3 linked regions of the Arabidopsis thaliana genome follow. The main gene of each other region encodes a partner of the protein of the gene in region 2 in a complex. Each region holds a gene or a part of one and is shown on either strand. Other genes may lie near its edges.

Evidence for each region.
Region 1: SWN (region 2) and MSI1 share a complex: the UniProt entries of both Arabidopsis thaliana proteins name them as parts of the plant homeodomain / polycomb repressive complex.
Region 3: SWN (region 2) and FIE share a complex: the UniProt entries of both Arabidopsis thaliana proteins name them as parts of the plant homeodomain / polycomb repressive complex.

What each region holds. Positions count from the first base shown.
Region 1 is NC_003076.8:23,553,287-23,559,805, reverse strand, and holds MSI1 (Transducin/WD40 repeat-like superfamily protein), read right to left. Parts: upstream 3,795-6,519; 5' UTR 3,695-3,794; coding exon 3,350-3,694; intron 3,247-3,349; coding exon 2,920-3,246; intron 2,755-2,919; coding exon 2,602-2,754; intron 2,465-2,601; coding exon 2,340-2,464; intron 2,228-2,339; coding exon 2,132-2,227; intron 2,041-2,131; coding exon 1,812-2,040; 3' UTR 1,561-1,811; downstream 1-1,560. Other genes in the region: EMB3143 (YCF54), read right to left, coding at 39-248; FHIT (FRAGILE HISTIDINE TRIAD), read left to right, coding at 493-552, 635-749, 916-1,064, 1,167-1,265, 1,338-1,457; TTL (transthyretin-like protein), read left to right, coding at 3,945-4,226, 4,307-4,408, 4,494-4,650, 4,827-5,260; AT5G58210 (hydroxyproline-rich glycoprotein family protein), read right to left, coding at 5,761-5,884, 6,051-6,322, 6,415-6,519. UniProt on the Arabidopsis thaliana protein: Core histone-binding subunit that may target chromatin assembly factors, chromatin remodeling factors and histone deacetylases to their histone substrates in a manner that is regulated by nucleosomal DNA.
Region 2 is NC_003075.7:883,047-892,487, reverse strand, and holds SWN (SET domain-containing protein), read right to left. Parts: upstream 5,909-9,441; 5' UTR 5,796-5,908; coding exon 5,760-5,795; intron 5,509-5,759; coding exon 5,389-5,508; intron 5,289-5,388; coding exon 5,023-5,288; intron 4,883-5,022; coding exon 4,724-4,882; intron 4,471-4,723; coding exon 4,386-4,470; intron 4,283-4,385; coding exon 4,139-4,282; intron 4,051-4,138; coding exon 4,003-4,050; intron 3,919-4,002; coding exon 3,847-3,918; intron 3,604-3,846; coding exon 2,999-3,603; intron 2,910-2,998; coding exon 2,762-2,909; intron 2,441-2,761; coding exon 2,220-2,440; intron 2,149-2,219; coding exon 2,017-2,148; intron 1,924-2,016; coding exon 1,836-1,923; intron 1,746-1,835; coding exon 1,698-1,745; intron 1,619-1,697; coding exon 1,490-1,618; coding exon of another isoform or gene 1,411-1,489; coding exon 1,333-1,410; coding exon of another isoform or gene 1,282-1,332; exon of another isoform or gene 937-1,281; coding exon 745-936; 3' UTR 501-744; downstream 1-500. Other genes in the region: AT4G02030 (Vps51/Vps67 family (components of vesicular transport) protein), read right to left, coding at 56-226; AT4G02010 (Protein kinase superfamily protein), read right to left, coding at 7,266-7,646, 7,750-7,897, 7,980-8,223, 8,345-8,716, 9,078-9,290. UniProt on the Arabidopsis thaliana protein: Polycomb group (PcG) protein. Catalytic subunit of some PcG multiprotein complex, which methylates 'Lys-27' of histone H3, leading to transcriptional repression of the affected target genes, mainly abscisic acid (ABA) responsive elements.
Region 3 is NC_003074.8:7,247,249-7,255,130, forward strand, and holds FIE (Transducin/WD40 repeat-like superfamily protein), read right to left. Parts: upstream 5,205-7,882; 5' UTR 5,007-5,204; coding exon 4,830-5,006; intron 3,987-4,829; exon of another isoform or gene 3,799-3,986; coding exon 3,733-3,798; intron 3,634-3,732; coding exon 3,511-3,633; intron 3,424-3,510; coding exon 3,343-3,423; intron 3,251-3,342; coding exon 3,158-3,250; intron 3,064-3,157; coding exon 2,988-3,063; intron 2,882-2,987; coding exon 2,802-2,881; intron 2,710-2,801; coding exon 2,638-2,709; intron 2,553-2,637; coding exon 2,493-2,552; intron 2,408-2,492; coding exon 2,311-2,407; intron 2,209-2,310; coding exon 2,145-2,208; intron 2,063-2,144; coding exon 2,003-2,062; intron 1,877-2,002; coding exon 1,816-1,876; 3' UTR 1,631-1,815; downstream 1-1,630. Other genes in the region: AT3G20730 (PPR superfamily protein), read left to right, coding at 1-471, 561-1,630; GATA29 (GATA transcription factor 29), read left to right, coding at 7,768-7,866. UniProt on the Arabidopsis thaliana protein: Polycomb group (PcG) protein. PcG proteins act by forming multiprotein complexes, which are required to maintain the transcriptionally repressive state of homeotic genes throughout development.

The sequences.
Region 1 (6,519 bases), on a different chromosome or scaffold from region 2:
TCAAGAGGAAAAGAGAGAGAGAGAAAGAAAAGAGAAACCTTGTTAACAGAAGACTGTTGCTCGATGGAGGTAGCTGCGGTTTTGAAAGAGGAGGAGAAATGTGATGATGGTAGAGACAGAGAAGGCGAAGAGAGATGGAGTTTCTTTGTCTGCTTGGGAAAGGAAGAGGAGATGAGAAAGGGTTTCGTACGGCAAGCGGCGGCGGTAGGCGGCACCGCCACAGTCAATGCTCCGGTGACGCTCCACATTTGCTGCTGATTAGAGTCTGTTGATCGAGGCAGAATCTGTAAAAATCTTATCTTTTTTGCCGGGGGTCATCCATTATTATCATCACTCTCTCTCTCCCTTTCTCAACTCAATTTTTAATTGATTTTAATGTTATTTGGGCTTCAGTAATGGCCCAATAAGGTGTTATGGGTTTCTTCAAGCCCGTAAGAAAGAAAAGGGAAAGGCGTTAACTGTGACTTTCATGGCGACGGAGGCGGAGCTGAGATGCTGAACCTGCAAGTAACCGGGAAGACGATCTTATCTAGTATTCGTTGTCAGAGAAAGGTAAGTTCCTTATACGATCCAACATTTTGTCTCTACTTTACAAGTTAGAAGGATTGATTTTTGAGTGTTTTGATTGCTGCAGATGTCGTCTACTTGTTCTTCGTACGCATTTGGGCCGTACAAAATCGATCCCCGTGAAGTGTTCTACGCAACGCCTCTCTCTTATGCCATGGTTAATCTCCGTCCGCTTCTTCCTGGTATGCCTCATTCCTCTCTAATTATTCATCGAACCTCTTCAACTTTCTTCTGACCTTCTTTTTCATCTATTTTTTGCAGGTCATATCCTTCTTTTTTTTGTGTGTTCTTCATTTTTCGGTTTTGTTTTGTAAATTGAGTTCTATTGGATGACTTTAACCAGACGAGCACATGTTCTTGTCTGCCCGAGACGCCTTGTGCCACGATTTACTGATCTTACAGCTGATGAGACCAGTGACCTGTGGCTTACTGCTCAGAAGGTTGGCTCTAAGCTTGAGACCTTCCATAATGCGTCTTCTCTCACATTAGCCATCCAAGTAAACTAAACATCTCCTTTCTTTCGTCATTGTTTCTTGCGTCTAAATCTTAATGGATTGGAATTGAAACGATCTAACTTTGGTTTCATGAAAATGGCTTAGGATGGCCCTCAAGCGGGACAGACTGTTCCCCATGTACACATTCATATCTTGCCTCGTAAAGGTGGTGACTTTGAGAAGAATGATGAAATCTATGATGCTGTAAGTTGTTGCATTTTGATCACATTCCTAGCTTTGGTTTTATACAAATCTTATGGTGGTATCTTCTTGTAGCTTGATGAGAAGGAGAAGGAACTGAAGCAGAAGCTTGATCTAGATAAAGACCGGGTTGATAGGAGCATTCAGGAGATGGCTGACGAGGCTTCCCAATACAGATCTCTTTTCGATTGCTAGTTATCATTTATCAATATCAAATCAAACCAAGCTATCCAGTAGCTTTAATAAGGACCATTGTGACAAGTGACTTTCAGTTTGAAATTTTATGTCAGAGACTTTGATTCAAATTTGTAATTTCTTTCTAATGTCGCCCAATCTGGGTATAAACTAAGAGTTATAGCTTTGGTTGACACTACTTAGTGAGATTAGAATCAACTCCTTCATGTTATAAAGAAAAATTCCCACTTGCTACCATCCTCTCATGCCTCATTTTACACAATGAACACTAAATACTTGAACTAAACAATAGCAGAGATGTATAAATAAATACTGTCCCATAAGATCAGTGCGCTTTGGATACTAAATAACAAGCTAAGAAGCTTTTGATGGTTCTTCCCCTGGAGCGTCATCCTCATCATGATAGATGTTTTCAGCCATTTGCCATATTTGGAGTATGTTGTCCTCAGCAACACTGGAAATAACCCAATCTTCACAAGGGTTCCACGAGAAATCTGAAATTTTGCTAGTGTGACCACCGTGAATAAACAGCAGCTCAGGTGGGCCGTCTTCTGCGTCCTCCACTGTCTGTTCCTCATCGATCCTATCATAAGACACCCTCAAACATATCAATATTGCTCCTCCATGACCATACATGAACATTAAACTAAAGAACTAAAGTCTACGGCCCAAACCTGCTAAGGTCCCAAACCATAAGTCTTCTACCAAGGCAACATGAAGCTAAAATAGTCTCGTTCTTTGGGTTCCAACCAACTTGAAAAACCTCCTCTCTGGAGATCAAGCACATAATTAAGGTTAGTGATGTTGCTGTAACTTGTAAATACTTCTTAGTAACACAAAATCCATCTCAAAGCGGCAATATTTATGGCGTATCATTCTTACTTGTGGCTATCAAATGTGTGAAGAGCGGTGCTTAGCTTCCGTAGATCGAATAATTTAACAGTCTTGTCAGTTGATCCTGTTGCCACAACCCACTCATTAAATGGATTGAAGGCTAAGCAGTTAACCTAAGGCATTTCAAACAACTCAACAATTAGCAAATACATACGAGGCAATATGATTCAATGGTTTTTAGTGTTAAGGAAAGCAAGCTTAAAAACCAGAAGTATTATCTGTATCTAAAGCTAATATATTGCAAACTCACCTCCATCGAATGAGCAACCACAGACTGTACTGGTTTACTGGCAGATGGAGAACGCAGATCCCATATGAGAAGGTATTGGTCATCTCCAACTGATCCAAACAGGTACTCATGTCTCAGATGCCATGCAACATCTTCCACAACCCCTTCATGAGCCTTAAGTTCAGAAAATAATCATCAGCAAGGAAAACACAGAAACCAACCTGAATATCTATCTATGAGCTTTCATAAGTGTAACTGATTCCGTTAAGTGGGTGCAATTCCTTCCTTTCTAGATGATACAAAACAAAACTAAAAACGAATAGAAATCCAAAGCATTACCTTAAAAATCTGCTGAGCGTCCAGAGATTTGTTTTTAGGAGTAGCGTTAATATCCCACAAGCAGATCTGAGCATCATCAGAGCCACTAAGCAAATGACCCTGCTTGAACTTACTCCAAGAGAGACCATATCCCTCAGAGCTGTGACCTCTAAGCTTTAAATCAGGATTACAAGCCCCATCAAGAGGAGGCTTAGATGGATGCTTACTGTAATCGAAAACATAGACCTCCGCATTAACTGTCTTGGTAGCAATTATGAAAGGGTTTTGAGGCATATAGCGAGCTCGATTAACCTCACCATCATGATTTATCTGCTGGATAATTTGTACCTACACAAGCAATCAAACTAACATTTATCATCCTTTACCTCGTTATAACCCTAGAATCAAATCTAGAAAGTTGGAAATGAGAAACAAAAATAAAAAATCGCACCTTTCCAGTTGCACAGCCAAAGCCACCAAATTCAGAGCGGTCATCATCGTACTGACGAGCTTCACTCTCGGTATCGTCAAGAGGAAGCTGAACTTGGGCTAGCATCAAGTAATTGGGCTCGCTCTCGGAGGTATGGGTACCGAGAATCATCTTCTGAACGGAGTAGTCTTTACCGGAAGGTTCTTCACGGTCAGGAAGCCATTCAACAGTAAGTGAAGGCCACTCGAGAGCGTGAGTAATAACGAGATCGTAGAGGAAAGGAGTGTTCTTCTTCCAGATCTTGTACTCTTCATTGATTAGTCGCTCCTCGATCTCACCTCGCATTTCCTCTTCGTCTTTCCCCATATCGGCGATGTCTTTGTTATTCCCGCCACAAGAACAAGGCAAAACCCTAAAACAGATCTCTTTACAAATTGTAAGAAACTTCTCGCTTCTGTTTCTGAATAATTCACATATAGAAGATGATGAATAAAAAAAGGAAGAAGATAAAGAAAAGGCCCATTTTTGAAAAGCCCGTTTATGAAAAGGCCCAATTAGATGACTTTTGATCTTACACCAGTCAACAGAAGTGAGGATTGGAGAAAAGAGAGAAAAAATGGCGATGGAGATCGGAGAAGATGAATGGAAGGTTTGCTGTGGAAGCTCCGAATTCGCGAAGCAGATGTCTACGTCTGGACCGTTAACTTCTCAAGAAGCAATATATACTGCAAGAGACATCTGGTTCAACCAAGTTAATGTGACAGATTGGCTTGAAGCTTTCTCTGCTCATCCTCAGATTGGGAATACTCCTTCACCTTCTATCAACTCCGATTTTGCTCGTCGGAGCGTATCAGAACAGTCAACCGCCTTTGCCACAACTTCTGCTTCTGCTTTACAGGTGATGGATCTTCACTTTTTTTTTCCTTCATCTCTTCAGTGATTTCTTCTTCTGATGATCAATTGTTTTCAATTTCTTAGGAGCTTGCCGAATGGAATGTACTTTACAAAAAGAAGTTTGGCTTTATCTTCATTATTTGCGCTTCTGGCAGGACTCACGCTGAGATGCTCCATGCGTTAAAGGTCAACTTTTGCATTTCCAAATCAGTTTTTGTTGAGTGTGAGTGAATGAGAAAGTTACATATTCATCAAATCGTCTCTTTTTCAGGAAAGGTATGAAAATAGGCCAATAGTGGAGCTTGAGATTGCTGCTATGGAACAAATGAAAATAACAGAGCTACGAATGGCAAAGCTGTTCTCCGATAAGGCTAAAGTTATATCAGAAACTGACAGCTCTAGCTCTCCTGTTTCAACAAAACCTCAAGGTATATTGATGATTTACCAAATCTTTTCCTTGTCAAAGTTTTGTGTTTGACTGTGTGGGTTTGAACCTGTTAGGATTCAGTATGATATCAAGTATGTGTCTTTTGGAATACAAGGATTTACCCTTATGGCTATCTTTGTTATCTGTGTGACCTTTTCTACTTTCTCGCTTTGTAAGATCGTCTGAGAATCATTGGAGGGCATTTGAATGTTGCAGCTGAAGCAAAAGCTCCCAAGAGAAGTAGGCCACCGATCACGACTCATGTCTTAGACGTCTCACGTGGTGCTCCAGCTGCAGGTGTTGAAGTGCACTTAGAAGTGTGGAGTGGTACTACCGGTCCTTCCTTTGTTCATGGAGGTGGTGGGGTCTGGTCCAGTGTGGGCACATCAGCTACTGATAGAGATGGGCGCAGTGGGCCACTGATGGATTTGGTTGACGCTTTGAATCCAGGGACATATAGGATTAGCTTCGACACTGCAAAGTATTCCCCAGGCTGCTTCTTTCCCTATGTTTCCATTGTATTTCAGGTTACAGAATCACAGAAATGGGAGCATTTCCATGTCCCACTGTTGCTTGCACCTTTTTCTTTCTCCACATACCGTGGGAGCTAGAGCTATGCTACTGCTGTCTGCGGCACCAACTTTCCAACACATTTTGTTTTGGTTGTACCACTACGGGAACATGTATCAAAATTGCTATGAAATGAAGTCTTTATTCGACATGTATAAAAATTGCTATGAAATAATGTCTATTCGAGTATTTATTTGGATTTGTAGTTCTGTAGAACAAACAATGAATTAGCGAAAATACGAGCTTTGATCTAGACTCATTGTGAGTAGGACAACGATAGTATAGATTACCATGTTAAACATCTTGGGAGATTCTATACCTTTGTACAAAATGGTCGATCACAAAACAAGCCTCTAAAACTGTTGTGTGTTTTAATCTAGACTCATAGCCAGCAGGACAATAATAGTCTAGATTAAGACATCTTGGTCGATTCCAAACCTTTGCGCAAAATGTCAAAACAAAACAGCTTCTACTGGTATACTTTACACACCTCTACCTACCCTTCCTGAGCGTGTCTAAAGCTCCCTGGCTATATCTACCCTCATCTCCAAAAGTTCGCAAATTCTTTCGCAAATGACATTATGTTGCTCCACGAACTTGACCTTTCTTTCACCTCACCAGTTTCCGTCTCTTTCACCTCACCGGCTCCTGTCTCTGAAATTTGTCTGTAAAAACAAAAGATATAAGAATTCAAACTGAAGTGGTGCCAATATGATCAACTTGAATGACTTTTTCTATTACTCAAAAACAAGAGATCCATCAATGAAGTAAATTATCCTAATATAAGGATCGGACCAGTAAAGAAGAGACCTAGTTGTATGCATTTGATACCTGGTCTCAGTAGGCACAACATCTGCTGAAACATCAGCTCCTTCAAGATGGTCTGCTTTTGACTCTTGATTGCCTAAGTGCGTCAAGTTCCTCTCTTCATCAGTCTCCGAGTTTTCTATTCCCTGAGTTGCCTCTGTTTCTCTTTTGTCATCTTTTGCAGTAATGACAAGGTTGTTGCCCTGGAAATTACTTTCATCATCAGAATTAGAGTGAGAAGTATCTATTATATCCGGCCTCTGCTCACTTCCTATCTCAATATCCACACTGCCAGCCTGTGAAACAGAAACAAGGATAACTAAGCCAATTGATAACTGAAGCCTAAGGAAATTAAACTGATCACACCAAAGCAAGATTTTTTCTTTACTTGAAACTCAGGTTCAACAACCACAGGAGAGAAGTGTGAGGAAGCATCATCTGGTACAGAGGGAGAGACTTCTGAGAGGGTTTTAGCTTCTACGATTGGCACAGG
Region 2 (9,441 bases):
TATTGACGCTTGTGTTGACGATTCACGAATATTCTGACAAGAAACGAAGACTAACCATGAGATCCATGTACTGATCAGCATCAAAGGAAGTGCTGTTGATGTTATCGAAAGAGGCGTTGATGGAGGAACCACTCGTCGAGATTGAAGGATCCGGTGCGTAGAAGCTCGACAATAGATCTCTCATTCTCTTCGCCTTTTCGTCCATCGGAGCTGCCTCCGTCGCCATTTTTCTAAACTCCTGCTTCTTCTCGACGACGAAAATATCTGTTACCGGAAGCAGAATTTTGGCGTCGGAGATTCGTAATGTGAATTGAAAAAGCAAGAAGAAACTGGATCCGACTAATCAACTGGGAAACGGATCCGTATCCGATTCGAACCGGAATACGGTTTAGCAGTCGGATTACTTTTTATGAGATTAGGCACTGGTTTAGTGTGATTGGTTCGTTCACTTATTTTAAATCAGTTTTATTCGTTGAAAAGTACATAGATTGGCTTTAGCTGTTCAAAAATCCATAAATTTGAAACTATTTTTCGAAATGATACATTTTTACTTATTGACCCCAATAATTCATAAATTGTTTTATCACCTATACAAAGTCCAAACTCGATGTCAAAATAAAATAAAATCTCAACTCTATAATAATTAATTAATAAAGACAAGCTTAAGTTATCAAACTTCAAATATCATCTCTCACAACTCTATAAGTTATTTTTATAAAAGTTACTTCTCTTAGCCAGTAATCATCAATGAGATTGGTGCTTTCTGGCTCTACGATGAGTAATGGCTGAATCATCTTTCTTGGAGCCTTCAGGTTTGCGAGCCCACACTGGTGCTTGGTCTGGTCCATATCTATAGTCATAGAAAAGCTCTTCGCTAGCTTCTATTCGTTCGTTTGCAAAAATCCCGACCCTGTGATCTCCTGCTACAAACATCACCTACACCACACAGAAAAAGACACCGTACTTATGCGGGAAGCGATGAGACCATGGTTACTACGACAATAGACTGAAAATCGCTCTTTTTTGTAAATAATTAACACCTTTCGAAAAGGGTTGAATAAATCTAGCAGATGATATACACATGTTACTTTACACATTACAATCATAAAGATTGTAGAAACAAGTGTGTTTTGATCATAACCTACAAAGCTAGATTTGATCATCTGTTTTCTATAGTGCTAATTGCGATTAGTTTCTACAAAATGTTATAATCCTAGTCCTCCTTCTAAATGGAACTTTTGAGTGGCTAGAGGTGAGAAAGAAGGTATAATTACTAACCGATCATGTGGTTTTTTCATACCAAAATGGATATGAGAGAGAAGCATTTAGTACCTTAGCGTAGCAATTGGGTTTAGCTGAGTGATTGGCAAATTTCAGCTTGTCACCTTTGCGTTGAGCATCGAGGACGTACTGCAAATATCAAAAGCTTACTGACATATGCGAAATTCAAGAGGAAACTATCAGAAAGAAGGGTGAGAGATTTGGTCACCTGATCATTCAAGTCAAAGAGGAAGGACGAATTTGCCCGGTCATATATTTTCCCACGCTTATCCGCCTCATGGTGTGAGATCAATTCACCGGTGTATTCTCCAAGGTATTCATTTTTGCTGACCGAGTTCTGATGATCAGATGAGGTTCAGATTACATACAAGAGGTATGAAACAGAAGTTAATGAGGAAGATATTCACATGCTTTACCTTTAGAAAAGCACCCCATCCAGCAACATCAGACTTTCCCAATAGGATCTGGTAAATATAGCACATGAGAAACTAGATTTATCAACAATGAATGCATTTTATTTTTAGTAAATACATGATTTGATGACAGTATTATACCCTCTGTTGTTGCCTCAGGAGAAGTCTCATGTTTCCGCATTGCCCTTCTCCGCGTCTTGGTGCTTCACCGAGAGAACCATCTCCACAACTGAGTGAATAAGCAAGGCATCTTAAGTTACTCATCAAATAGTAGATTTGATTGTATATGGCACATCAAGAGATCTAGATTTAAAATGACTACCTAACCCAGCAATTTCTGCAAACATCTGGATCACATTCTCTGCCAGCAGCAAAGCAGGGACACTGCCTACTTCTGCATTGACTCTTTGCACAATGACATCCTCGGAAACGATTTTTACAGCTTTTTGAGCACCTGAATTAAATCAATGGATGGTTATAAGAAGATCCTCTGTTACTTCAATTGACGTTAATTTGTTTGCATACCCGCAATATTTCTCGCAGCAAGTTTCATTAGTTAGACAAGGGCAATCCTTTCCGCACATTGACAGGCATCCACACGGCGTGTATTGTTTACAGGACTGGTTTTTGCCACCAGCTATTCTTTTCCAGACAGACGGATGACCAGCAGACTTTGTAGAGTATTTTAGCTTCCGGGTTTTGCCTTTTCTACGGAACAATCTTGTCCTTGGAGGCACCTCATCATTCTGTCAAGTAAAGTAAGAGAGCGGTAAACCAAAATATGATTCTGACAGACATGGCATGCTAATATCAATAAAATCTCAAATAAAATAATCACTTGTCTAAGCCAACTTATGGTCAACTATCGTTTTCTCTTGTCCAATGCAGGTATCAGGGAAAAATTAAGCAAGGAAATTGGCTTTTCCGGATCAGAACTTTTTTCTTCTGGAATAGATCTCTAACCCTATCAGTCTGACAAGCTAACTTTCAATACAACAATGCCCAAAGTCGCAGATACTGCAGAAAATTTGAAAAGACAAAAGACCCTAGGAAGATCAAGAGCTTACATCATTCCCTGGGTCAGTCCTGCCATCATCCAACAGCAAATTTGGGGTACTAGATCTTCGAAAAACTGAAACTTCGTTTTCACGCATGTAATTGGACACATCTAGGCATGTCTTCAAGCCAGAAAGCAGGTTTCTTGCAATAAGACAGCTGAGATAGCACGGACAAAACATACTAGATGTAAATACGTTATAGGTGTTCTGTGTTTAAAGATAATAATTTACCAAGATCCAGTTTACCTGTTTCTTCCAAAGATTTCGACTCCCTTCAAGTAAAGATCCTTCTCGATAGGATTCCACTCTGTAGATGGTCGACTTGTCTCAGACATTTCTGCAATGATTATTGCTCCGTTTCCACTACCATGGTGTGGCTGACAAATTGAGGAACCACCATCATGGACCGAATTGTCTGGAATAGGCTCACCTACTTCTTTTGCATCAGCTTCTGAGTCTCTGTTTACTTTATTGTCAGTTGTTCCACCTTGATCACCCTTTGTGCTATCCAATGCCTGATCTAAGCTAGGGACAGAATTAACAAATGACATTTTTGTATCTGAGGCTGCGGTCTTCTGTTTCTTGTTCGATAAATTAGGCAGATCATTGGAGTCTTTTAGAATTGGGACCTCACGCTTTCCTCTAATTCCATGCTCTTGTTCTACACCAGAGGATGAATCTACATTCTTGATACCAATATCAGTCTTCTCAACTTGCAGACTGACACCACTAGCAGCAGCATGGGGAACATCAGAGGAGACAGCCTTGCTGCATTCCTCTTCTGAAGCTTTCTCTTCTGCTTTAGATGCAAAATTACTGCATGTTTCTGGTACTTCTCTGACCGCCTTGAGCTAAAATCATTAACATAAGAATAATGGTGATTCAAACTCTGGAACCAAGAAAAATTACTGCATAAACAAGACTATGCACTAGTACAACTACAATGAAAGATCACTCCTCTAGCAAACGCATACATGCTAAACCTCAATCTAGGTCAGAGCATATATTCCATGATCTCACTAATGAATATAGTTTATTAACTACGAATATACAAATCACTCTGAGAATGTAAAGAGACAGAGAGAGAGATAGACCTGGAGGTAACAATGTTTGCTGCAGGGTTTCCTATCACCTTCATAATCAGACCAATAAGGCTGTTTTTCACTCTGTCAACCAAAGTTCTCTTGTTATGTTGTCCACTGAAACTTTAGCAATACAACTAAAGAAAGTAAAGACAAATTCAAGCTTACAGCACTAATCAAAGGCTGAGAACATCCATGCAGACGACAGTCAAATACCTGTTAGAAATAACCAAAGAAGGATTAACATGATTAACAAACACTTAATAATACATGCTCTCTCTGTCACAAAGAACAATCCAAGTACCAAGCAACGGCGGCAGAAAAGATTATCAAAAGAATCTAGAGCTGCACCAAGGCCCTTTTCCAGAGATATTCCCAGCTTGAATCCGGAATTAGAAAATTCCTCGGTATTCTGCTTATCCTTCAACTTGAGCTCATTGTATCTTTCCTGCAGCAGACAGGAAAGCCAAACATCATTAGTGAAGAAGAATAGGAAGACCAGAAAAACATCATTAGATAAACCACAAGAACAAGATGACTAAAAACTGCACCAGGATATCAGAAGCATCTACGCTTAGCAACTGGCAAAGGGCATCCTGCACTTCCTCACCCATGCCATACTCCTGCCCAATTAACCTGCCAATTCAAGTCAAACGAGGTATGAAGAAATTCATATATAGTGAGATATATTTCAAACCTAATGCTAATGAAGAGTCTTACAGAATGAAATTTGATATGAATACGAAATATGACATCTTTTTTTAGCATCAACAAATGTGATTCATTGGTTAATAAATTCCACCCAGGTACTTCTTCAAATACCAGTATCACAATTTTTCCCCATCAGAGTACATGAGAGTCCATAATTTACACTCTCTGCAAAACTAACCATATAATGGAATCTTCACCCTCGGAAAATTCACGTTTTTCCTCCTCAGGTTCTGGTTCTTCCTCACTATCGCTGCATATTAGCGTCTCACCACCATGTTGTTCATAGTAGATTTGTCTTCGACCAACCACAGACTGATCTTCAGCCATTCTTTGATTTCTGCATGGTTAAGATATTTTTTCAGAAAAGAAAAACAACACATAATATGAAAACTGAATTTGATGTTCTAGTCTATTGTTCAACTGAATTTAGAATAGCATGCTACCAACGCAAAAATGAGAACTAGAAAAGGTGCATGCCTGTCCAAAAATATCCAGGTAGTGTATGGCGGTATTCTCTCAGCAATAGGAAGCTTGACACTTGCTGATATAACATCCTTAGTAGGAACATAGTCTCTATCTCCCACACCATGAGAAAAACCATTTAACTTGCAGAGTGGCATTCTCATTCTCGAAGAAAGCATATTGCTATTTCCATTATCCTCTGCGGTAGCTCGGCTCGATGCAGCAGATGAAAAGGGAGAAACATGAGCATCCACTTTCTTTCTATTAGCCTCAAATTTCTCCTACATTCCCAGGAAAACAATCAAAAACGGATAAATGATTTCAAATTTTTTAGACATTAGTATAATTAGTAAAGAACATCAAGTATAGAAACTCTCTTACTTTAATAGACCTAACTCTTTCTCCTTGAATTTTCCTTTTAAGCTCACTTAATCTGTTTTCCAAACCCTCGAGTCTATCTTCTTCTTCTTCACCATCATCATCATCATCTACATGAGACTTCTATTCAGAAGCCCAAATCAAAACAAAAATCGTGTAAAAAACAAAAGCAACGAGGAAAAACACTAATTCTATAAGGTCCATCAACTCCAACAGTGAACAAAAGTAAGAGAGCGATTATAATTTGATGAACTCAAACGGATTTCACGAACAATCAGCTGAAAAAACGCGAATGATCATGCGCATACGAGCAAAATCAGATAATAAATCAAAAAAAAAAAAAAAAGAGGAGATTGAAAGGTAAATCTGAGTACGATTCGTCCAGAGGAGTTGCTATCGTCCGTCACCATTGATGACTCCTCGAGCTTTCCGCTTCTCTTCCGCTCGAACTTTCTCTCTCTCTCTGCTTTTTCCGCAATCAGACTTGTGAGAAGGACGAACGGAGTGTGGACTGGAAGGGGGGTTACATTACATACAAAGAACGCCACACGTGTGAATGAATAGTGCTTATACGTGTGTAATTTAATTAGTGGTTTTGCGACAATTATTTTCTATTTGTGATTATAATTGTATGTTATCTTAAAGATAACTATTACGACATGCCTGGCTCTGGAGCCGTTGAGGCTAATAATGGCTAATATTATTAACGTCAAAGTCTCTAGAGCCACACAGGTTATAGCAGTTACGTTTGAGATAAGTATTAGTTGTAAAGTAATAAACTCTGAACGTAAAAATATTAAGATATTTGTGATTATAATTGTATTTTATCTTAAAGGTAACTACTATGATTTGTGTGGCTTTAGAAACTTTGACGTTAACAATACTAGCCATTGAGGCTAAGAATATTAGCTGTAAAGTAAAAATCTCTGAGCGTAAAGATTTAAACTGTAAAGATTTTTTTTTTTTAACATATGTATGCTTCTTATAAACTTGTAAAGGGAGATACAAATATCTTTCTAACCATAATGGTGGTACAGAGAATTAATTAACTGAGCCTTTTTAGATAAGATGTCCGCAGCTGCATTTCTTTCCCAATTAACATGTGCTAAGGAAGAGAACGGAAGCTTCACCATCCAATAACGAATATCATAAAGAAGAGTGATGATCTTATTATGATCACTCTGCGTATTGATCAGATTTACTAGCTCTGCATTATCGCTCTCAAACCACACATAAGTACATAATGTAGTCCTCGGGACCAAGTCACTTGAAGGGCATGAAGAAATCCGAGAGCCTCTGCTTGAAGAGATAATTGTGACGATTGAAGTTGAGCACGCCCTGAACTAAGGAAACATCCATTGCAATCTCTGTAAATCCATCCTGAATGTATGACAGTCCTTTCCTGAACATAACCACTATCAAAAATAATAATAATAAAAACTGTGATTTTAACTAATAAGAAAGGAATTACTTTAAATATTGGTTTGATACCATAAAAATTATATTTAAAATATTAGTTTTTCAACAGATTATATTTTATTTAGATTATTCCATAAAAAAAAAGTATTATACTGTTACTTTTAGCTGTAAAAACTTTTACTGTAAAAAGCCTTTAAAAATTAACAGTACAAACTAATCACCTGTACATAGTTTTTTTATATTGGAAAAAGTATATTCAAATTCTATTTGTATATCTGATGGTTGTGGCAAATATTAATTAATTAACGCAAAAATATATACAAAATTCTATCCTCCAATAAAGGAGAATCCAAAATCCAAAGAGCTGTAATAATGTCCCAAACTCAAAAGCTTCTCTGGTGGAAATTTTCTCACCGTAAGTGGGAGAAAAACAAATAAAAAGAAGAAAACCCTGGCTTCTATCATCGGCCTTCGTGAAGATCTTCTGAGAAAACAGTTGTTCGTGTAATATTTTCATGATCAAAAGCGCTTAGACCAGAATAAGGACCAGAAGAGAACATAGAAGAGGTTACTTCTGACTCGAACGTAGCTGATGATTGTCTCCGGTTAGGACGAGCTTTATTTGAAGTGTTTAAAACCGGGTCTTGATACTCAACCACCCGTTGAACCATTTTAAGTGACTGAACCACTTCGCCCATCGTTGGTCTCTGGCTAGCTTCAGGTGCAACACAAGCTGCAGCGATTGTGCATACTCTTATGAAATCTTCTTTCGGGTATTTTCCTTCAAGTCTTGAATCGACTAGTTCTTCTAACCGGTCTTTGTCTCTTAAAACTGGCCTTGTCTGCATCCAGAATCAAATTTTTACATTCGAGACTTCAAAAGCTTAAGTTTTCGACAATGAAAGTGCAGGAAGATCTAGGAGATGACAAGAACTTTCTACTTACCCAAGTGACGAGATTTTCTTGGCCTGAAGGTTGTGACATATCCACAGGTTTTCTACCAGTTAACAATTCGAGAAGGACCACACCGTAACTATAAACATCACTCTTGACGAGTAGGTGTCCCGTCATTGCATATTCAGGCGCAACATATCTGAAAACAGATCGCGGATTCAATAGGCAACTCAGAATTTAAGGTTGTATATGAAAACTGTCGAGAGATATGAGCAACTCACCCAAATGTGCCCATAACACGAGTAGATAAGTGATTACCCCTGCCTTCAGGAGCTTGTTTGGCTAGGCCAAAATCTGCAACTTTGGCGTTGAAGTTGTTTTCAAGGAGTATATTAGAGGCTTTAAAATCTCTGTGTATAACGGAGGGTTGCGAGTCTTCATGAAGGTATGCAAGTCCTCTTGCAGCATCAAGTGCAATCTTCATTCTGGTGTCCCAATCAAGAGGACAGTTCAACCCGAGAGGCCCTGAAGCATAAACAATGACTTAAATAAACCACTCTTGTAGATGAACTCAGTGTACAATAACTACTTTTGACAATGTCAGATCTAAAAATAGGCAGCAAGGGAAGCAAAGAGGAGATATTACCATGGAGCCAAGCCTCGAGGCTGCCATTTGGAACAAGCTCATAACAAAGTAGGTGCTGAGAAGAATCTCGACTACTATAGTAACCCACAAGTTTCACAAGATTACGATGATGAAGACGGCTAAGCATATCAATCTCCACCTGGAATTCTTTATCACCTTGTGGCCCACCACTTGTGAGCTTCTTAATCGCTACAGCAGTACCATCGGCTAAGATGCCTCTGTAAACCTTGCCAAACCCACCTTCTCCTAGAATGCTAGCAGATTCAAAATTGCTAGTTGCCTCTTTGAGTTCTTCATATGACAGAAACCGTGTACTTGCTGGGTGAGGAAGAGATCCCCCAAATGAACCAGCGTCCAGGTTCCTTGGTTTTACTGAAAGAAAGGAATATGCGATCAAGTTTTTACTAAGAACAAGAACTAAAAGTTAATTGCCAGGATTTAGGAAAGTAACATAAATCACACTGGTAAGTGGACAGCAATCATTCATCATCTATGTATCCCCATTTTTCTCAATCCTTTTGTTTGATTCCTAAGGTCTGTTGGCTTTTTACATAAGGTCTGTTGACAACTAACAACACAACTTTAAACCCAATATAAAAGTTGACATTATCCCAACATCTATGCTAACTTCCCAATGTGCTGCTCACATGATGTGTACCTTTTGACATGATTCACGTATTCCTAACTGAGATCGGCCTATAATTTAAACCTTGTAATCAGAAGAGGTACATACCAGCTTCTTTGTGAGGATCTGGAGCTTTCTCTTCTCGGAGTGCGCGGGAACAAATAACAAGTACAGTGATTATGGCAAGTATAAGCACACCAGCGGCTATAGAAAAGATAAGAATAAGATTGGGATGCCTCTTTTTCCCTGGAGATCTTACTGACGTAGTTGCTGAGGATCCTTGTGATGGTGCTTTATGAGGTGAAGAAGCCACTAGAGGTGCTGCAAACATATTAAGACCTATCTTAGTGCAAATGCAAGGAATCATGGTGATATACTCCAAAAAGCATCAAACTGGGAGATGCTTTTTTAACATAAAAAACTATATCAGTCTACTTTCTTTCGGCTATGCTATCTTGAATGTGATGAAACT
Region 3 (7,882 bases), on a different chromosome or scaffold from region 2:
TGTTGATAGATTTGTACTTAAAACAGGGAGATGTGAAACATGCACGTAAACTGTTCGATAGAATTTCTAAGAGAGATGTGGTTTCTTGGACAGCTATGATCTCGAGGTTTTCTCGATGTGGATATCACCCGGACGCGTTGTTGTTGTTTAAAGAGATGCACCGGGAAGATGTTAAGGCTAATCAGTTCACTTATGGGAGTGTTTTGAAGTCGTGTAAAGATTTGGGGTGTCTGAAAGAAGGGATGCAGATACATGGTAGTGTGGAGAAAGGGAATTGTGCAGGGAACTTAATTGTGAGAAGTGCATTGCTTTCTCTTTATGCCAGGTGTGGAAAGATGGAGGAAGCTCGTCTTCAGTTTGATTCAATGAAAGAAAGGGATTTGGTTTCTTGGAATGCTATGATCGATGGATACACCGCCAATGCTTGTGCAGATACTTCGTTTAGTCTGTTTCAGTTGATGCTCACGGAAGGTGAACTACTTAATTCAATTCTTCGTACATATTTCAAAACTTATGTGACTCAGTTTGGTTATATAGCTTCTTGTGTTGTTATGTGTTAGGGAAGAAGCCAGACTGCTTCACCTTTGGAAGCCTCTTGAGAGCTTCTATTGTCGTTAAGTGTCTTGAAATAGTCAGTGAATTACATGGATTAGCGATCAAGCTGGGTTTTGGGAGATCAAGTGCACTAATTAGGTCTCTGGTTAATGCATATGTGAAGTGTGGTAGCCTTGCCAATGCTTGGAAACTGCACGAGGGCACAAAGAAAAGAGACTTACTATCTTGCACTGCTCTAATTACAGGTTTTTCACAGCAGAACAACTGCACAAGTGATGCCTTTGATATCTTCAAAGATATGATACGGATGAAAACAAAGATGGACGAAGTTGTAGTATCCTCGATGCTTAAAATATGCACCACCATTGCATCTGTAACCATTGGAAGACAGATCCATGGTTTTGCCTTAAAATCTTCCCAAATCAGATTCGATGTTGCTTTGGGGAATTCGCTGATAGATATGTATGCAAAGTCTGGGGAAATCGAGGATGCAGTCCTGGCTTTCGAAGAGATGAAAGAGAAAGATGTGAGATCATGGACCTCTTTGATTGCAGGATATGGAAGACATGGGAATTTTGAGAAAGCAATTGATCTTTATAACAGAATGGAGCATGAAAGGATCAAACCGAATGACGTTACATTTCTTTCTCTCCTCTCTGCTTGTAGTCATACAGGACAAACCGAACTAGGCTGGAAGATTTACGACACAATGATCAACAAGCACGGAATCGAAGCTCGAGAAGAGCACTTATCTTGCATCATAGATATGCTTGCGCGCAGTGGCTACTTGGAAGAAGCTTATGCACTGATAAGAAGTAAAGAGGGTATTGTAAGTCTTAGCTCATCAACATGGGGAGCTTTTCTTGATGCATGCAGGCGCCATGGGAATGTGCAGCTCAGTAAAGTAGCAGCCACGCAGCTTCTGAGTATGGAACCGAGGAAACCAGTCAATTACATCAATTTGGCCAGTGTGTATGCAGCTAATGGAGCATGGGACAATGCTTTGAATACTAGAAAGCTTATGAAAGAGAGTGGTTCCTGCAATAAAGCTCCAGGATACAGCCTTGTGTATTGAACTAAGAGAATAAGACAAAATCTCCAGAAAGGGTATACACTGTGGTACAAGGGTGGACGTTAACAAGGCTACAAAGAGCATCTCAAGGTCTCAGGGAGTAGCAACATGATCAGAATTACAATAAAAGAATGGATATCTCATTTCTTCGCACTCCTAATTCATCAATTCCTACAAGACTCAGACCGCTACTTGGTAATCACGTCCCAGCGCCATATAGTCCCGTCCTCGCAGCAAGCAAGAATCGTGCTACAATCCCATGGAAGAAACAGTGTGTCAGAATCCAAAGTTTGGTTTGATTTACAGTAACTATTGAGTCATAAATAACATTAAGAAATTTTCACTGCATTGGTGAGAGAGAAGATGGATTTATACCTTCCATCGACAGACATGGCTGTTTGCCTGATTACAGACTTTGATTGATTGTGTGATAACCTATATGGCAACAGAAAATCATGTCAAGACTAAAACATTTCTTAAAGATCAAACATTGTATCTGAATCCGAAACTAACTTACTTTGTAATCAAAACAGGAGGGCAACTTTTCAAATCCCAGACATAAACCTTTCCTTCCTGATTACCTGATAACAAACCAGCGAGTAATTTGTCACAAAATGAATAAGAAAAGTTGAAGTAATCTATCTATAGAATGCAAATTTGTATCTAACGAGCTCTCTGATTACCTATCGCAACAGAACTTAAATGGAGGTCACAAGAAAACTTGATAAACCAAATATCACACATTGGAACCGGGTATCTTAATAGAACATCTGAAGCTCCCTGCAAACCACAAAAAGTTCAACTGTAAATATATGTGATGAAATGAATGATTATGTTGTGTTTGGAGCAACAATGAGATCCTAACCTCGCCAGGAGAATTCTCTTTCAGTTGTGGTTCCCACAACAGGATCTCGTTGTCCACACTCTAAAATCCGATAGAACAACACAAGAGTAAAGTGTTTTAACAGTACACCAAATGAATTAATCTTAACCATCATTGACTTACTAACCTTTGAGAGGATAAAATCACCAAACCAACGGTTACAATCTACATAATTTGTATGAATGGAAGCTGTAAATACCTACATATAGAAGTAATGTTATTTACAAAGGCCATCACCAATATTTGTATGTCACTTGTTGTTACAAGACAAGGCTAAAACAAAATACTTACAGGGAATTGGACAAATTTTGTGGGGAATTTTGATGGATCATCAGTCCATGTGAATGACTTCTCGACGTACGTCCAAAACTCTATAGACAGCCAAAGAATAAGAAGATCATACAAACGAACCACAAGCCATTTTTCTCAAAAGGTTTTTTAAAATGGAAGTTTATTACAATATGTGCTCGATCGTACCTTTCATTGACCATATTTTAATAGTGGTGTCCATACCACAACTAGCAAAGCGGTAAATATCAGACGGATGAAAATCCTACAATTTTCAAAATAAGATGGTTCCCCTTAACATTGTCTCTATATATTATTGTAGAAAACTAACTGAATTAGATAAAACAATATTGGCTCACCACACTTAGAACTTCATAGCGATGACCTCCAGCTCCAGCAAATATCAAAATACATATCCCAGTTTCAACATTCCACAAACGAACAGATTCATCCTTATTCAATTAAAACGTAACAGCTCTTAATCACCAACAAATAAAAAAGAAGTCAGGATACTTTAGGAAGAAAAGAAAGCCAAGAGATATACCTTGCTAGCAGTAATCACAAGTTGAGGTTTTAAAGGTTGTGTCCTGATTTCGTTCACTGAATCTCCATGACCCACAAGACTCTGCACATTTGCGAGCACAGATTATACAAGAAAGATATAGAATCATTTGCTAGGATACATAGAACATCCATAAAAATGCAATAATACCTTATGAATCGTTTCACTGTTGACGTCAATGACTCGGATTATACCTTTTACTCCTCCAGCCGCAACATATGGGTTCCCATTAACGCCACACGCCCAACTTACCGTGTAAAACGACTCTTCCTTCTGCTCTCCAGAGGACATAGACAAAATATAACCAAATGGCCTCAGTGAAACATCACTTACTTTAATTTGATGGAAAAGCTAATATGTATGCTTCCTTACATCTTCATCAGCATAGGATTGCAATGCTGATATGGCACCATCTCCGAGACAATTGTACAGAGTAATCTACATAATAAGAGATACACCAATGGCAGTAATGAGATTCATGAACTAGCTAAGTAAAGGTTAAATGAAAGAACCCCTTGGTTAAAGCTTCTATGAGAAACTCAAATATTTCTAACTAGTAAATCATTCAATTTAAAATCCAACGGAAACTAGGAAAGATGAAAAAAACTACAACTAGTTAAGATAAGTATATTGAGACTGAGCAACCAAACAACCTTAGTGCGGAAACTGTTAGGCACACAACATTATAAAGAGAATGAGACCTAACCAAGTGTGTAAGATTACAAGTTAACTCTACTCATTGCCGATTGGACCCCAAGGACTTTCACATGGTATCAAAGCCCACTAATCCCAAATGCTCGACCGAAGACGATTACAAATTAACTCCACTCATTACCGATTGGTTTTTCATGGAACCCGAGAACTTTACGCGGTATCAGAGCCTACTAAGCCCAAACGGGTATCCGATCGATGTTTCGACGAATACAAATGAGCCTAAAGAGCCACTATCAGGTACATTCGGAACCCACATTGAAAACAAAATAGAGCAGTCTAATGTATAAGGTAATGACTTCACTCTATCTAGTTTCAAAATTAGAAAAAAAAATAACTTCCACAAAATCTCCAATACAGGAAAGCTTAAACTAAACGCTTCATAACTCACTTGATGACCGTTTCAAAAGGAACCTCCTTAGATAAGCAGACTAACAACATCAACCAAAGTTTCAATTTTTTTTAGAACAGAATGCAAATCAAGTGTATAAGGTAATGAGTTCACTTTAAATTAGAAAACAAAAACCATATCTTCCACAAAATCTCCAAAACCAGAAAGTTTGAACTAAATGTTACATAATCTTAGACTATAGCATCAAGCAAAGTTTCAATCTTTTAATCTCACTAAAGGCTAGAAATCAGAATCCAAAATCAAACACAAAAGGAAAGGCCTTAATGTTACAATCAATCTGAATCAAAACCTAAACAGACCCAGAATTGAAAACAGTGATTTCGAATTGAAAGTCGAGATCTTTTACCCGATTTCCACCAGCGGTAACGAAGACATCGAAGAAACGAGCATCAAGGAAGTTGAAAACAACAGCATACAAAGGTTTCTTCCCTTCCTGAATCCTATTCGTCACTTTGTACGATTTCTTATTCGATGGAGTCAAAGACCCAACTATTGACTCGTTCCCTAAGGTTATCTTCGACATTCGATATTCGAAATCTCTCTCTCTGTCTGACTCTCGCACACTAATCTAAGCTCACAAGTCTCTCATGCAACAACAACTGGTGTTTTGTAATTTTCGATTAGACACAGATTCACAGGTTATTAAAATTACTGTAACCGTAGATTTTGACCTCACGACAAACTTTTATTTTGGACCTGACACAACACACAACTCACCTTTTAGAAAAAAATGGTAAGAAAAATCAAATTTAACGTTTTTTAATAGGACTTAGAATTAAACGTTACGATGAAAAATAAATATATTCTTTGATTGATACGATCGAAGTTTACCTATTTGTCTTTCTTTTTTTTCAAAGGAATATTATAGATTTGATTGAAATTTTCTGAAAGTAGTAATTATTTAATATGTAATCTTATATTATTGACCATTCATTACTATTAGTTTTACTAAAAATGGTTAAATGATATAAGGTTTGGATTTAAATGGTATCACGTTTTTATGTTTTGAAAACATTATTTTGTCAATTACATACATTTCTCAATTTTATGTAATTCTTTTCTTCCACCCAAATTTTACATATTTTTTTACCTTTTTCTCAAATTTGATACTCAATAGCTACAATTCCAACAGTACCACATATTTTTTCCATCAAGTTTACTGTATGCAAATATGGATCATTTCTTCTGGACTACACCTCCGAGAGTTTATATATCATAGTATCCATGGGTAATACGATACTTATGGAAAGTTTTATAAGATTTACTTGTAATATTGCATTAAGCCAAAATGGAGGAACGAACTTGGCTCTATAATCGACCATAGAAGTGCTCTGTTTTATTTAAAGCTTACTTTCATCTCTTACCTTAAGTTTTTATTTTATTTTCTTGCACTTTAACTAAAATAGATTTTAGATACACCAAAACAAAATCAAGATCACCGATATAAGAATTAAAAAACATAGATGCAACAACTAATAGACAAACCATAACCAATTTGAAAATAGAAAGTGTGCTAAGTAGGTTTGATGTCCGCCTATTTGAAGTTGTAAATAAATTGATTTAACATTTTATCCTCTCACTGTTGTTATTTACCATGATATCTCTTCGTTGAGAGCATTTTACTTATTTAAAATGTATTTAATGGATTTTTAAAGGGTTTATTTGAATACTTTGGAATACTTTTCCAAATAAGTCACATTATCAAAAAAGAAAATTAGAAGTTCACTATTTGGATATAACGATTTGAACATCTCCAAACAAGATAATCAAGGTCCAAACTTTGAGAAACTCATCGATAACGACAAAATTTGCGATAACGACAAAATTTACGATAGAGTCCAATCAATGTTTATAGGAAAGGAAGACAAAAAAATACATGGTTATAGTTTATTTTAATATATGTTGAATGTAATATATGAAATTATAGTGCTTTAATTATAATTTGAAATAATCAGTTTACAACGGTACAAATTATATAATTTAAACAAAAAAATAGTTTAAAGCAATTATGGATAATTTTCGAGTGGTATTGTAGAATATCACGTGTGGAAAACACATTTGTTCAAAAAAATTTAGAGATCTATAGAACCTCTAGTTTTAAACCCTAGGAGTAAACAAGTATTGAAAGCTTTTGTGGTTGTTGTGTACTTGCTCGCTTCCTCGTACAACTCTTATAGGAAAATAGCATTTCTCCTAGCACTAAGTTCTGGAAGCGAATGCTCCCAAAATCTCACAACTAATTCACAATTGCTCCTATAGGATCGAATAATACGTGAAAACTGAACTGGTATCCGAGTAAAAACCAAACTAAACACATTACTCTTCTAATTGTACCCGATAATTTTTTATTCTTTCCATTCTAATTTTTTTATTCGATTAAATTGAAATTTTCCGGATATTTTGGATATTTTTCAATAGTTTGAGAATCTAAGTAAAAATATTTGAATTGAACAATATCCAAAAAAATGCACTTTATAATTACCACCTTTGTACCAATCCTATTATAAATTCAAGTAATCAATATATAAAAACAAAATTGTACTAATAAACGATGACTAGAAGAAAAAAATCTAGCATCTATATAAAGTATAAAACCGACCGAAAATTCTAGCCGTAGATTTAAAACGAAAAAGTTTCTGATAAAAAATGATTAAAAATTAAGCAGTAAAATCTATCCATTTCATATTATCAAATTCCCTACAAAAGAAAAGTGTTTAAAAAAAATATTGAAGGAAAAAGATTCTCTTGTTGTAAGTTCTAATCTCCCTCTCAGTCTTCTCATGTTATTTCCATGGTTGGTCTTAAAGAAATTTTTACCGTTTTTTGAATATTTAAATGTCTCTTTTTCAAAATTAAGATCGATTTGTCATGTAGCAATCATGATTTGACGATAATCACATTTCTCATGCCTTATTGTTGCTCTCTAAATACGTGCTTACATATATATGTAAACGCATATGTATTTGTCTATTTGTATATATATGCACCAAAGCAACACACGATCTCCACAAGATTAGTGGATCGATTAGCTGCTTCAGATCTGAAAAAATAAAAACTAAAACTTTTGTTGATCGATTTGCTTAATCTCTGTAAGTGTTTTTTTTTTTTAGAAACTCAAATAGTCATGCCCTACTCATATTTTTTGTTTGTTGTTTATAGGAACCTTGTTTTTCTATATGTGATTCTCGAAAAATGTTTTTGTAAATTGTATTCATAAAACTACTGTCTAAACTTTTATATCAAGTTGTTTTAATTGATTTTCTTGAACTTTTCTATAGTGAAAAATGGAGCCGGAACTGGACTTAACACTGAAGTTGGGTTTGCCAAATTCGACTGTTGAGACACATCTGACCTTAAGCCCTCCCACCACCACCACTGATCAGGTCTTATTTCATTTAT